3 linked regions of the Oryzias latipes genome follow. The protein of the gene in region 3 interacts with the protein of the main gene of each other region in a pairwise test. Links are inferred from orthologs where the notes say so. Each region holds a gene or a part of one and is shown on either strand. Other genes may lie near its edges. The genes, in order: pick1, cytoplasmic FMR1-interacting protein 2 and fmr1.

Region 1 (3,755 bases), on a different chromosome or scaffold from region 3:
AAAATCAGAGAACTGAGTCCATGAAGGAGGAAGGTATATCATTTCACAGGTAAGTACTATAATTTTTTTCTTTTAATGCTGCAGGGGCTTCATTAATCATACACATGTTGACATGCATGATGCTGTAGGGCTGTTATCAACATACTGCATGATGTTCGTATAATTTGCTGTTGACATAAATGGACATTTTATTTTGCTAAACCTGTATACAGCATACTAGGCTACTATAGTAATATAGATTTATACATTTCTGACTCAGTGACTGAACTTTTCTTGCAGGTTTCTAATGGATTCAGACTAAAGGAAAAAGTGGATCTTAGCAATAAAAAGGGCTAACCCAGATGGATCACTGTGGTCACCAACTAGCAATACAGTCTGGCTATGTTAGAAACATTTGTGGAAACACATTTTGATAAGAGGCCAGACTGTTTGCTTGAAACCCGACACCATACCATCTGTGTTATACCAAATTAATCACTCACATGAATCAGTGTAAATCTATTGCTTTTCTTTGTTGTTGTAGTTGTTGCTTTTTTAGGGTAAATCTATTGTTCACTTTTGGACTTCTTTTGAATATTTATTTTATTATTATTATTATTATTATTATTATTATTATTATTATTGACTTATTGTTGGGTTTTTCTAAATAATTTAAATTACATGTCAAAGAGGTCTAAAACTTCTAAATGTTTAGAAAATATTTTTAAAACTCTTTGAAATTATTTTTTTCTTCGTAAGAAGTCCTGCAACAATGCATTTTCATTCAAGTTTGAGCTTTTAAGGCTGCCTGTTCTTCTTTAACAACAACAAATGATCTATCTATCTATATCTATCTATCTATCTATCTATCTATCTATCTATCTCTATATATATATATATATATATATATATATATATAAATGTTAAAATATATATATAGTATATAAAAGCTACTTAGACACCACTGAAAGCAATAGAAATCATTGTCATGTGGGCGTCGTCGACCTCACCAAGATGGCGTCGCGCTCCGCCACCATCGGCCAGGCTTCTAAAGCGGGCGTGTCTCCTCTAGTGATATAACTCATTGGTAGTACTCATACTGCGCTCTGCGCACCGTCATGCAACTATTTCCGTTCTGATCCGGAAGTGACAAAATAAGGTAAACAGGAACTGTCAGTAAAAAACAATTTATCGCAATAAAAGTGCAAGCCCAGAACGTTTATCCAGGAGGGGGGAAAGCAGAATTACAAAAACTATTGTGACACAGATATAAGAAAAAGGTACTCGAGACTTTTTGAAGGTAAGTAGTAATCTACCTCGTTTATAAAATGAACGGCATTTCTGCTACACCTGCCAGGAGGCTAGGAGCTAGCGTAGCGGCTATGATGAGACAACGTAACAATATTTTTTTTAGTCATCGACTTTGATGATTAACAATTAACAATATTATGCCAAAATATTACTGTTTAAAGTATTTGATTCCATTCTAACACGTGGTAATATGCAATTAAGAATATTCCTTTTAGTATCCATCATTACCAGCTGTTTCCGCTTTCTCCTCCCTGTAGCCTCTCTCCTCTTCTCTCAGTCTGACGAGAAACAGATCTGCTGACCGTATTTAACAGCAGCACACGGTTTTTGTGCGTTTGTTTTTTGTTGTTTTTTAATCACAAGGCTACAACAGACTTTGTTGATTTTAGATTGTCGATAATTATTTTGATGTAGTCGTGTTCATAAAGTAATCCTGCAATAACAGCAGTTTTTATGCTATTGTCAGATTTCGGGGTCAGCTGTGACTGTCCTGTAATGTTCACAGACATGGACTATGACTTGGAAGAGGATAAACTGTGAGTCTTTATGTTTCATTCTTCTAAATTCAAAATCCTAGAAATTCTGAAGAGTCCAACTAGACTGACATGACAAAGTTCTCAAAGCAAGAGCTGAGGATGAGGATGAAGATGTTTGTGTTGTGACAGAAGCACAGATTTTTCCATTGAGTTTCCAGGAACAACTTAGTGACTTGTTTTCTACTCTCCAGTGGAATCCCCACAGTACCCGGCACTGTGACTCTGAAGAAAGATGCTAATAATCTTATTGGCATCAGTATAGGAGGTGGAGCACAATACTGTCCTTGTCTATATATCGTCCAGGTGAGTGGAGATATCTGTGTTGTCTCTAAAATGATGCTTTAATTTTGATTCAGTGCCTTTGGAAAGAAACAAATTATGTTTCATGCTACTCTGTCTGTTTGTTTGTTTGTTGTTTTTTTTAAAGCTAACAGTGGATTATGCTAAACAGAAACTGTGGATCTGTAAGTCAAATTGAAGCGCTTCAATTTGACTCACTAATCGATCGTCTCACAGGTATTTGATAACACCCCAGCAGCTCTGGATGGGACTCTGGCAGCAGGAGATGAAATCACTGGTGTCAACGGGAAACCGGTGAAGGGGAAAACGAAGGTGGAGGTGGCCAAGATGATTCAGGCTGTCCAGGTATGTCAGGTCTAATGTTTTTTAATCTCAACAATCCGCATCAAGAAAGCAAATGTCACACAGAAAATGACAGCTCTGAAAAAACGCTTTAAAAGTATGACTTTGGAAAACGGGTCACCCTCAGTGCCACTTTTATTATTATTTTAAAATTATTTCATTACTTACTTGCTTATTTGACCTCATTATTGACTATCCAGTAATAGCTGTATGTATATATGGATGTATGGATGTAATATATATATATATATTTTTCTTTTCTGGAGACTCTTTCTGTGAGTTTCCAGAAATAGAAATCTGAAAGCAACCTACATAAATGATAGTTTTCAGAGTGCCAGTGCTAAAGAACAAAAAAAAAAACAACATTTATTAGATATTTGGCAAAAAATACAATTAATAAATTGAGTTGAGATCCATTTGCTGTTAAGGATGCTGGATAATAAAATGAAGCAGTTAACCTGCATCATTGTTGATGCGTTACAAATATGAAATTAAATGTAACCTTGAAAAACAGCATCCTATTGGACAGTCTTTGACCACTTATGCCTCAATGTACGATCATTATATTGTCATTAAAAGCAAAAGATTTGAAAGAATTCCATTTTATCTGCTTTTTGGTACAAAAATAAACTTCTGAAAATGAGGTGTATAACTCTAAAGGTTTTTCTTTGAGCTGATAAAAAAATCATTTGTAAATGGACTCAATATTATTTAGATAATAATCTAAATAATTTCTTCTCATTCTGAAGTGTCTGTAAATGTTAACCAGTCTAAACTCTGACCCTTTCGCTAGTTTATTAGTTCCCTTTGTTCAATAAGTCAAGCAACAGACCCAAATTAGCAATAGAACCATTTATGCTGAATAAGCATCTATTTCAGTTACAATTTTCTGTTCACACCAAAAGTTCAAATATATAATGAATCAAATTATCTGGAAAAAATTTACGAGATTCAAGCAAATATTAGAAAAATCTTACATTTCCAAGCTGCACTTTGAGGTGAAGAAAACTAGAAAAATAAGTGGAAGAAAACTCACTTTTTCAAGCCCAGCAGTTGGTAGAAATCCTCCTCCGTGAGCAGCAGACGGGTTTGCTGTCCAGCCGTGCAGACCTAAAGAGGTCAGAACAAAAGCAAGCAGCATGTGACAGCATGTCATCAGTTCAGAGGGTCTGTGTTGTTTTTCACAAGCTTTGTTCAGACATAAAAAATGCCACGACTTCCTGCATGATGGGATAAAAGCAGGTCCAGTGCAGGATTTAGAGGATTTATGTCGCGTTTGTGTTCAGG
Region 2 (3,655 bases), about 4.2 Mb from region 3:
GTTGCACATACACAGTGAGATAGACAGATCTGTCAACTGTGGAGCTCAGTTTGCAGGGGGGGGGGGGTTATTCAACTAGCTTGAGGTTAGCGCTGTTTGGTAGCACTGAGCATGTTTGTCTGCTGCACAAAAGCCCCGCTTTACTGTTTGTGAGCCTCCAAGCCAGAAGAGTTTGAAAGGAATGAGAGAGTTCTAAGCAGTAAAAACAGTGCGACGATTACGGCATCCAGCCAAAAACAACCAAATCCTAAAAAAAAAAAACAGCGTTTCGACAGAGTTTATCCTAAACTGCAACTATTGAGTGCCAAAAGTGCAGAAACTGTGCTGGATTTCATTTCCCTGTCACACTTGGATCTGGGATTTTCATTTGATTTTTTTTTTTGTGATGTGGATTTTGAACACGCCGGATTGCACAAATGGTCATGTAAAGCCCCCTCTTTTAATATGCAGATGATGAAAACAGAGGTTAAAGTTGTTTTTTTGTGACTAAACTGCAAGCTTCTTGTCTCTTTTCCTGGTGATTCAACCCTCTGATCCTCACCAGCTCCACTTGTGACTTGAATATTAAGCTGCTTATGGGGAGGTTTGCTCTGCCTGCCGGTTTAGATGTAATACATCCATTTCTGAAGGACACAGTGCATGGGGTGGATGCATACAGATTGGGGTTTTATTAAAGTTAGGTTTTGTAAAAAAAAAGACACAGACCGTATCCTGCCTCTCTGTCACTTATTACAGACACACAGATGAGCTAAGCAAGTACTTGTGGACACTTAATGATTTCAGTGGTAACCCAAAAATAGAAAAATACAAAACTTCAGTAGGGTTTTTTTCCAGTATCATCTTTAAGGCTTCTAAGAATCTCCTGCTTTAGTTGTTCCTGGTAATAATTTAAAAAATAACTTCAGTGTCCTGCACTCGGGTGAAGGGAGAAACAATAAAGAAGTGACACATCAAGGCGTTAAAAAATACCTGCTTTACTCTCGACTTAATATTTCAGTCAATCTGTGTAGTTTATAAGTTGAGAAGTTTTATTGTGTAACTTCATAGTTTTGTAGCTTTCTATTAAATAGGGGTGCTAAAATGTCCATTTTGTTTTAAAGATTATCTGAAATTTGATGGCAGGAACACAACAATACGATAAAATAATGTAGACCACCTTATTCCTTGTATTGTAATATATATTTTTAAAATGAATAATACCCAAAAGTATCAGTTTTGCAGGGATTCTCTAAACGTTTTATCTTACATGCTCGCTCTTTCCCTCTGCTCCTTGCAGACCGGGCTGTTTTTTGAGTGACACTTCATTACCATGACGACGCACGTGACGCTGGAAGATGCTCTGTCCAATGTGGACCTGCTGGAAGAGCTGCCCCTGCCAGACCAGCAGCCATGCATCGAGCCCCCTCCCTCCTCCATCATGTACCAGGTACCAACTTGCACGCACTGACCCCCCTCCTCCACCCCCACCATCACCGCGCCCATCTGCTGTCTGCCACAGCTGTTAGGATCCCCTTCAGCTTTTCCCATGTCACTCCTTTCTTTCTTTCTTTCTTTCTTTCTTTCTTTCTTTCTTTCTTTCTTTCTTTCTTTCTTTCTTTCTTTCTTTCTTTCTTTCTTTCTTTCTCTGCAGGCCAACTTTGACACCAACTTTGAAGACAGGAATGCGTTTGTGACGGGCATCGCTCGCTACATAGAGCAAGCCACAGTCCACTCCAGCATGGTGAGACTGCAGCTTCTGCTGCCATGCCAGAAGTCATTTCACTTCCCGTTTCAGCCAACAGAAAGCTGGCCGTAAGCTGCAGCTTCAGCCACTAAAGTGAGGCCTCATTCTGTGTAGACTGGTCATAATTTGACTGCGTCTACAGCACGACTGACACTCTATTTTACACAATTGTTCCACACACTGATGATGAGGCAGAGGAACACTTAACTCTTTCCCCTAAAGGTGAAGGATTGGAATATGGTTGGACTAACGCAGAGGGGAAGTAACGCTTTATTTTGGTGTGTTTTAGCAGGAAGTTTGATTGAGATTTTATTTTGGGAAGAACCACTTTTTAAAAGAGGAAGTGAACTGCTTTTGTCAAAATATTCACCAACTCTTGAAACTGGCAATATATTTAAAGACCCATTCTAAGGGAAATTGTGTTTTTTAAACATGTTCTTGTGGCATTTTACTGATGATGGAGAACATAGAAAAGAAAATGAAGCTCAAAATGGAATTTCTAGTAGTTCTTTATTCAAATCAATCAGGGGCACAAAAAAAAGCCATTTGAAAAAGATCGTATTAGAAACTATATCCTAGAAAACAACACAGATTTTCTATTTTGGCTTAGTATAATTACAATGAACAGACCACTGGGAACGCTTTGAAAATAGGAAGAAAAGATGATCTGAGTGGGTCTTTAAAATGATGGGGTGGCTCCATAAAAATACCAGCCATTTTTTAATCATACAATGTGACATTAAAAAACTTGATTATTTTTTTAAAAATGGACGTTTTTGCTTTTTGTTTCTATTCAGAACGAGATGCTGGAAGAAGGACATGAGTATGCTGTGATGCTTTACACCTGGAGGAGCTGCTCCAGAGCCATTCCTCAGGTTAGTACAACACCAACATAGTCTGTGTCTTCCAAACTGAAGTAGAATCTGCTGATGTACCATAACTGAATATTCCTGTCAAAAAACCCCGTTTGGATTGCTGTCTGAATTTGTTCAGATCAGCATGTGGTTGAACGTATGAAACTGTTAAAGTTGCTGAACATGAAATGTTGGTTTTAACTGGTCAAACCTGACATCTCATGGCAGCTGAAGCTTAGCTGTTCATGTTTTGCTTCTGCTCTGTTGGTTTTGACACCAACTTAAAAGTTTCATGTTTTTTTTCCATCTCTATCTCTTAAATTAACAGAGGTGTAGAGTGAAAACATAATCTATTATTAAATTTCGGTGTTCTGTTTTATATGAAGTTTCATTTTTATTGCTTTTATCAGTGTATAAACTTCATGAATGGCAGTTCTAAACTGTGTGTTGTCGCCATCTTGTGTTGGTTAGGTGAAATGCAACGAGCAGCCCAACAGAGTGGAGATCTATGAGAAAACAGTGGAGGTTCTGGAGCCTGAAGTGACCAAGCTTATGAAGTTCATGTACTTCCAGGCAAGATATTAATTGGAAAAGTGAAGCAAACAATCAACCAACGGATTTCTGATTTAAAAGGGTCAAATTCACTGCAACATGGTAGATTATTTATCTCTCATTTTTCGCAGAGGAAAGCTATAGAACGCTTCTGCAGTGAAGTAAAGCGACTCTGCCACGCTGAGAGAAGGAAAGACTTCGTGTCAGAGGCGTATCTGCTCACCCTGGGAAAATTCATCAACATGTTCGCAGTGCTGGATGAGCTCAAGAATATGAAGTGTAGTGTGAAGAACGATCACTCTGCTTACAAACGGTAGCCAGCAGTCATTTGGTTTACAGTTTTAAAGTAGCTTTGAAAATAAAATAAAAATGTTATTTTTTTTAGAACGAAAAGTAAAAGTTTTCCACTGTCTTCTGCCTTTTAGAGCTGCTCAGTTCTTGAGGAAGATGGCCGACCCTCAGTCCATCCAGGAGTCCCAAAATCTTTCCATGTTTTTAGCAAACCATAACAGGATCACTCAGGTTT
Region 3 (3,755 bases):
ACTCCTACCTGTTGAAAATAGACGCTGGAGACAACTGCGCTGCTTGAAAAGTAAAAACGCCACTTAGAAGGTCATCGCAGTTATCGTGAAGAGTCGCAAGCAGGACCAGTCCACATTAGAATAAACTAGACTGCACAAACATAAATTGTGTAGATTGCTTCGTTTTTCGTCATTTAGCAAAAATAATTTTCCCAGTTTCCGTTGTTAATCTGAATTCTGAGTAACTTCTATCTGTGTTGGAAGAACTAAAGAAAGCATATCTACTTTTTAAAGTCAACGTAAATCAAATAGGGCTGCATGGTGGCGCAGTGGCCTAACACCAAGAAGGTTCAAGTCCCGGCTGGAGGATCTGTAACAGAATCACCAATGGGGGGACCTTTCTGTGTGGAGTTTGCATGTTCTCCCCGTGCATGAGTGGGTTTTTTCCGGGTACTCCGGCTTCCTCCCACTGTCCAAAAACATGCTTTATAGGTTAATTGGTCACTCTAAATTGTCCCTAGGTGTGAATATGAGTGTGCATGGGTGTGTGATTGTGGCGCTGCGACAGACTGGCGACCTGTCCAGGATGTCCCCTGCCTTGTTACGATAAACGCCGGCTGCCCCGTGACCCAGAAAGGGACCAAAACCGGTTCAGGAGATGACTGCATGACTGAATGAATGAAAGATTTCAGCTTTTTAAAGAAGCAGTCAACAAAAAACCAGATTGGACCAGATTTTTGGACATCCAAAAGTTAACCATCATACCTAAAGAAAAAAAATTGCTAATGCAGGAAAATTATTTATGATAAATCACAAGATTAAACCTTAGGTCACTTTGAATTGATGTTTTATCATAAATACACACGACCGGGCATTTTTTTTGCCAAACACAGTTCAATTCATTCCTTTTTTTGATGAATTCCGAATTTAACTGATCAACTAGTAAAACTGTGACACAAACTCAACTATCAGTTTGTGCCAAAGCGGCTTTTCTAGGAACCGCACAGAGCAGCAAAGGCTGCGGGAAGAGTCTGCAGGCCGAGATCACAGTAGAGGAAGAAAACGCAGACGTCACATGGAGAGATGCACCCAGCAGCAGCTGCCTTACTACTAATCACACATTAACATAAACCAGCCACCACAAGCTAACCAGGACATCTATTTGCGTTAGATTTTCCACACGTTCCCCGCCGCGAGTCTGAAAGGAGGACGCGTGAATTTCCCCACGCGGTGCAAAACCGACACCAGCAGCTACCTTTGCCTCTCCTTGCTCCCAGCTGACCGCGGAATTCGTATTGGAAGAGAAACCAGCGACAAAACTCTGCTAGCGTCGGGCTAGCTAGCCAGCCAGCTAGCTCCCATTGCTAACTGGAGTTAGCTAGCTAGCGAGCTGTGGTAACTTGCGTCATGGAGGAGCTGGTCGTGGAAGTCCGAGGAACGAGCGGGGCCTTTTACAAGGTAAACGGTTAACTTCTGCCGACCCTGGTCACGCCTGTGGCACCGTGAACTAACAGGGCGAACACGGAATGGCCCCACCGAGCAAGCCCGGAGATGCGTGTTTGTGCGCGCGGGCCTCCGTGGATGTACCTGTAATAAACAAAACTGACGCAGCGATGCTTCGCCAAACTCCCATCTAGCAGCTGACTTAACGACATTAATGTCGCTGCAGACCCCTGAGATCTGCGAAGCCGAGCTGCTTTTGCTCATATTTATCCAATTTATTCGGATGCAGGGATTATATTGGTCAAAAATGTTGTTTTGTTTGTGTCTGTGGGGCGTCTCTATTTAAAAAAAGTACCAAAGTGTTGCGTTCGGATGCTAATGTGTTGTGGGATTTGTTTAGACAAACAGAAACTGCTCATATAAGCAGGGATTGTCAGGTTTTCAAATAGTGGCCACTATTTCATTGATCCCATTGTAATGAAAACCAATAATCTGATTTCTTAAATTATCAGATTATTCAAGGACTAGCTTCCATCAGATAATAGTTGTCATTTGGTTTTTGAGAATTAAATACACGAAAGTCAAACCTAAATTCACCGAAATCCGATTTTATTCTTGCTTGGACACAATTCAATTAATTTTTGTTCGTTTACATCCAATAATGTGTAAAAACAGAATAGAAAAATGCGAATAAATGGTAGTCAAGGCAATTTCTCTATTCTGTAGGGCTTTTTTGTTGTTGTTGACCTAAATGTTTTGATTGGGAAACCGTAAAAACCATGCGGACGGCTGATTTTAACAAAATGAGAACAGATGTGGAAAAACACCCACAAAAAGTTAAAGTCGATAAAACATGTAAATCTATTTGGATCATCAGGTTCCCTAAACGCGTCAGAACGAATGGTTACAGCTTCCTAAACCCCTCCCAGTTCTCCCATTGTTGTGGTCATATAAACAGACTCATGTGTGTGTAGTAATCTGTACATCAACAATGGTATTTAGGGATGTGCCAATACAGACAACCGATATTTGCCGATACTTAAGTGTCCACAGAAACACAAAGTTTAGATTTTCTTTTTGTTTCTTTATTAGAAATGTACCACTTTTCTTTGACTGGACAATCACATTGCATTTGACCTTTTTAACATACAGCAAAGGATCCTAGAGGAACAAGTATCACTTTATAATTGTCATAAAAATATATCTGTAAGCATTCAGACCATTTACTGAATATTGGACATAACTGTCGGGGATCTAATAGGAACAACGTGTATCCCTATCAAAAATTACATTTACCTGAAAACAGTCAATTACTGACTATGACAGCAAACATAAGTTTTCCAATCTATTGGTAACAAACATTTAAAAAATAAAGTGTTTCTGAAAACAGTCAAGCGAATATCGGTAGATTTTTTATATCAGACCAATACTGAGAAACTCAAATTATGCAAATATCTGCAGATACTGGCACTGAGATCGCCCATCCCTAATGGTGTTCCCTAAAGTGACGAGCGGCGTGATCATCGGACCGTCAAACTGTTACGACCTTCTGGTTGAGCAACATTCTCTCTGATTTCAGCCTCATGAAAGTTCGGCAACAATTTAGTGATAGAAACGTTAAGTTTGGATGCAGCGGCTCGCACGACCTTGTGACAAAAAAAAAATCTACGTTTTTTTTTTAATAAGTCTTCCCCAGAAAGGAAACCACAAAAAAAGTTTGATTCAGCTCCTCTTAAATGCTTATATTTTTGTTAGATTTTATTTAAAGGTATCTGGGTGATTTAAAAGTATTTCTCTAGAATGTGTTGGAATATGTTTAATATCTGTGTTATTAGAAAAACGACTGGTCTCAATCATTAAATGTATGTATTCAGTTAAAGTAAATATCTAATGTATATGTACATATTTATGTTTTATACATGGAATCATCTTTTTCTTGTACAGATTTCTTCGGTACTTAAGGTTTATCATAGCTGTCTTTGTGGTAAAGAATTTTTTTTTCCCGTGGTGATAAACTGTATGTGAGCCATAAAGATGGTCAAAGGTGTTTATTTTTATTGCAGACACTTAGATATCTTATGTCTGAGGGTCTAAAGTGTTGTATGGAGCACACGGTGGCTGTCCCACCTGGGATTTGAACTCTCAGCTGACTGATCAGCAGGCAGCTGCTCAACCCGACGGGATCTTCAAATTCATTAACAGACATTTTAAAGTTTAATAATCCTAAAAATGATCAAATTTATGGAACGTTTTTATATCATAAAAACGTTTTAAAAGTATTCACTTTATTGAAACTTTGGAGGCTCGTCTGAACTTTTCCCCAGTTATGTGTT

Evidence for each region.
Region 1: the proteins of fmr1 (region 3) and pick1 interact in a two-hybrid assay, tested with the Homo sapiens proteins (2 studies listed by BioGRID and IntAct). The link is inferred for Oryzias latipes from reciprocal best matches to the Homo sapiens genes FMR1 and PICK1.
Region 2: the proteins of fmr1 (region 3) and cytoplasmic FMR1-interacting protein 2 interact in a two-hybrid assay, tested with the Homo sapiens proteins (2 studies listed by BioGRID and IntAct). The link is inferred for Oryzias latipes from reciprocal best matches to the Homo sapiens genes FMR1 and CYFIP2.

Annotation. Positions count from the first base shown.
Region 1 is NC_019866.2:19,587,511-19,591,265, reverse strand, and holds the start of pick1 (PRKCA-binding protein), read left to right. Parts: upstream 1-1,110; 5' UTR 1,111-1,279; intron 1,280-1,518; exon of another isoform or gene 1,519-1,547; 5' UTR 1,548-1,619; intron 1,620-1,756; 5' UTR 1,757-1,785; coding exon 1,786-1,826; intron 1,827-2,017; coding exon 2,018-2,129; intron 2,130-2,342; coding exon 2,343-2,471; intron 2,472-3,755. UniProt on the Homo sapiens protein: Probable adapter protein that bind to and organize the subcellular localization of a variety of membrane proteins containing some PDZ recognition sequence.
Region 2 is NC_019868.2:21,201,170-21,204,824, forward strand, and holds part of cytoplasmic FMR1-interacting protein 2, read left to right. Parts: intron 1-1,276; 5' UTR 1,277-1,309; coding exon 1,310-1,426; intron 1,427-1,630; coding exon 1,631-1,720; intron 1,721-2,520; coding exon 2,521-2,598; intron 2,599-3,048; coding exon 3,049-3,150; intron 3,151-3,260; coding exon 3,261-3,442; intron 3,443-3,554; coding exon 3,555-3,651; intron 3,652-3,655. UniProt on the Homo sapiens protein: Involved in T-cell adhesion and p53/TP53-dependent induction of apoptosis. Does not bind RNA. As component of the WAVE1 complex, required for BDNF-NTRK2 endocytic trafficking and signaling from early endosomes.
Region 3 is NC_019868.2:25,368,130-25,371,884, forward strand, and holds the start of fmr1 (synaptic functional regulator FMR1), read left to right. Parts: upstream 1-985; 5' UTR 986-1,386; coding exon 1,387-1,437; intron 1,438-3,755.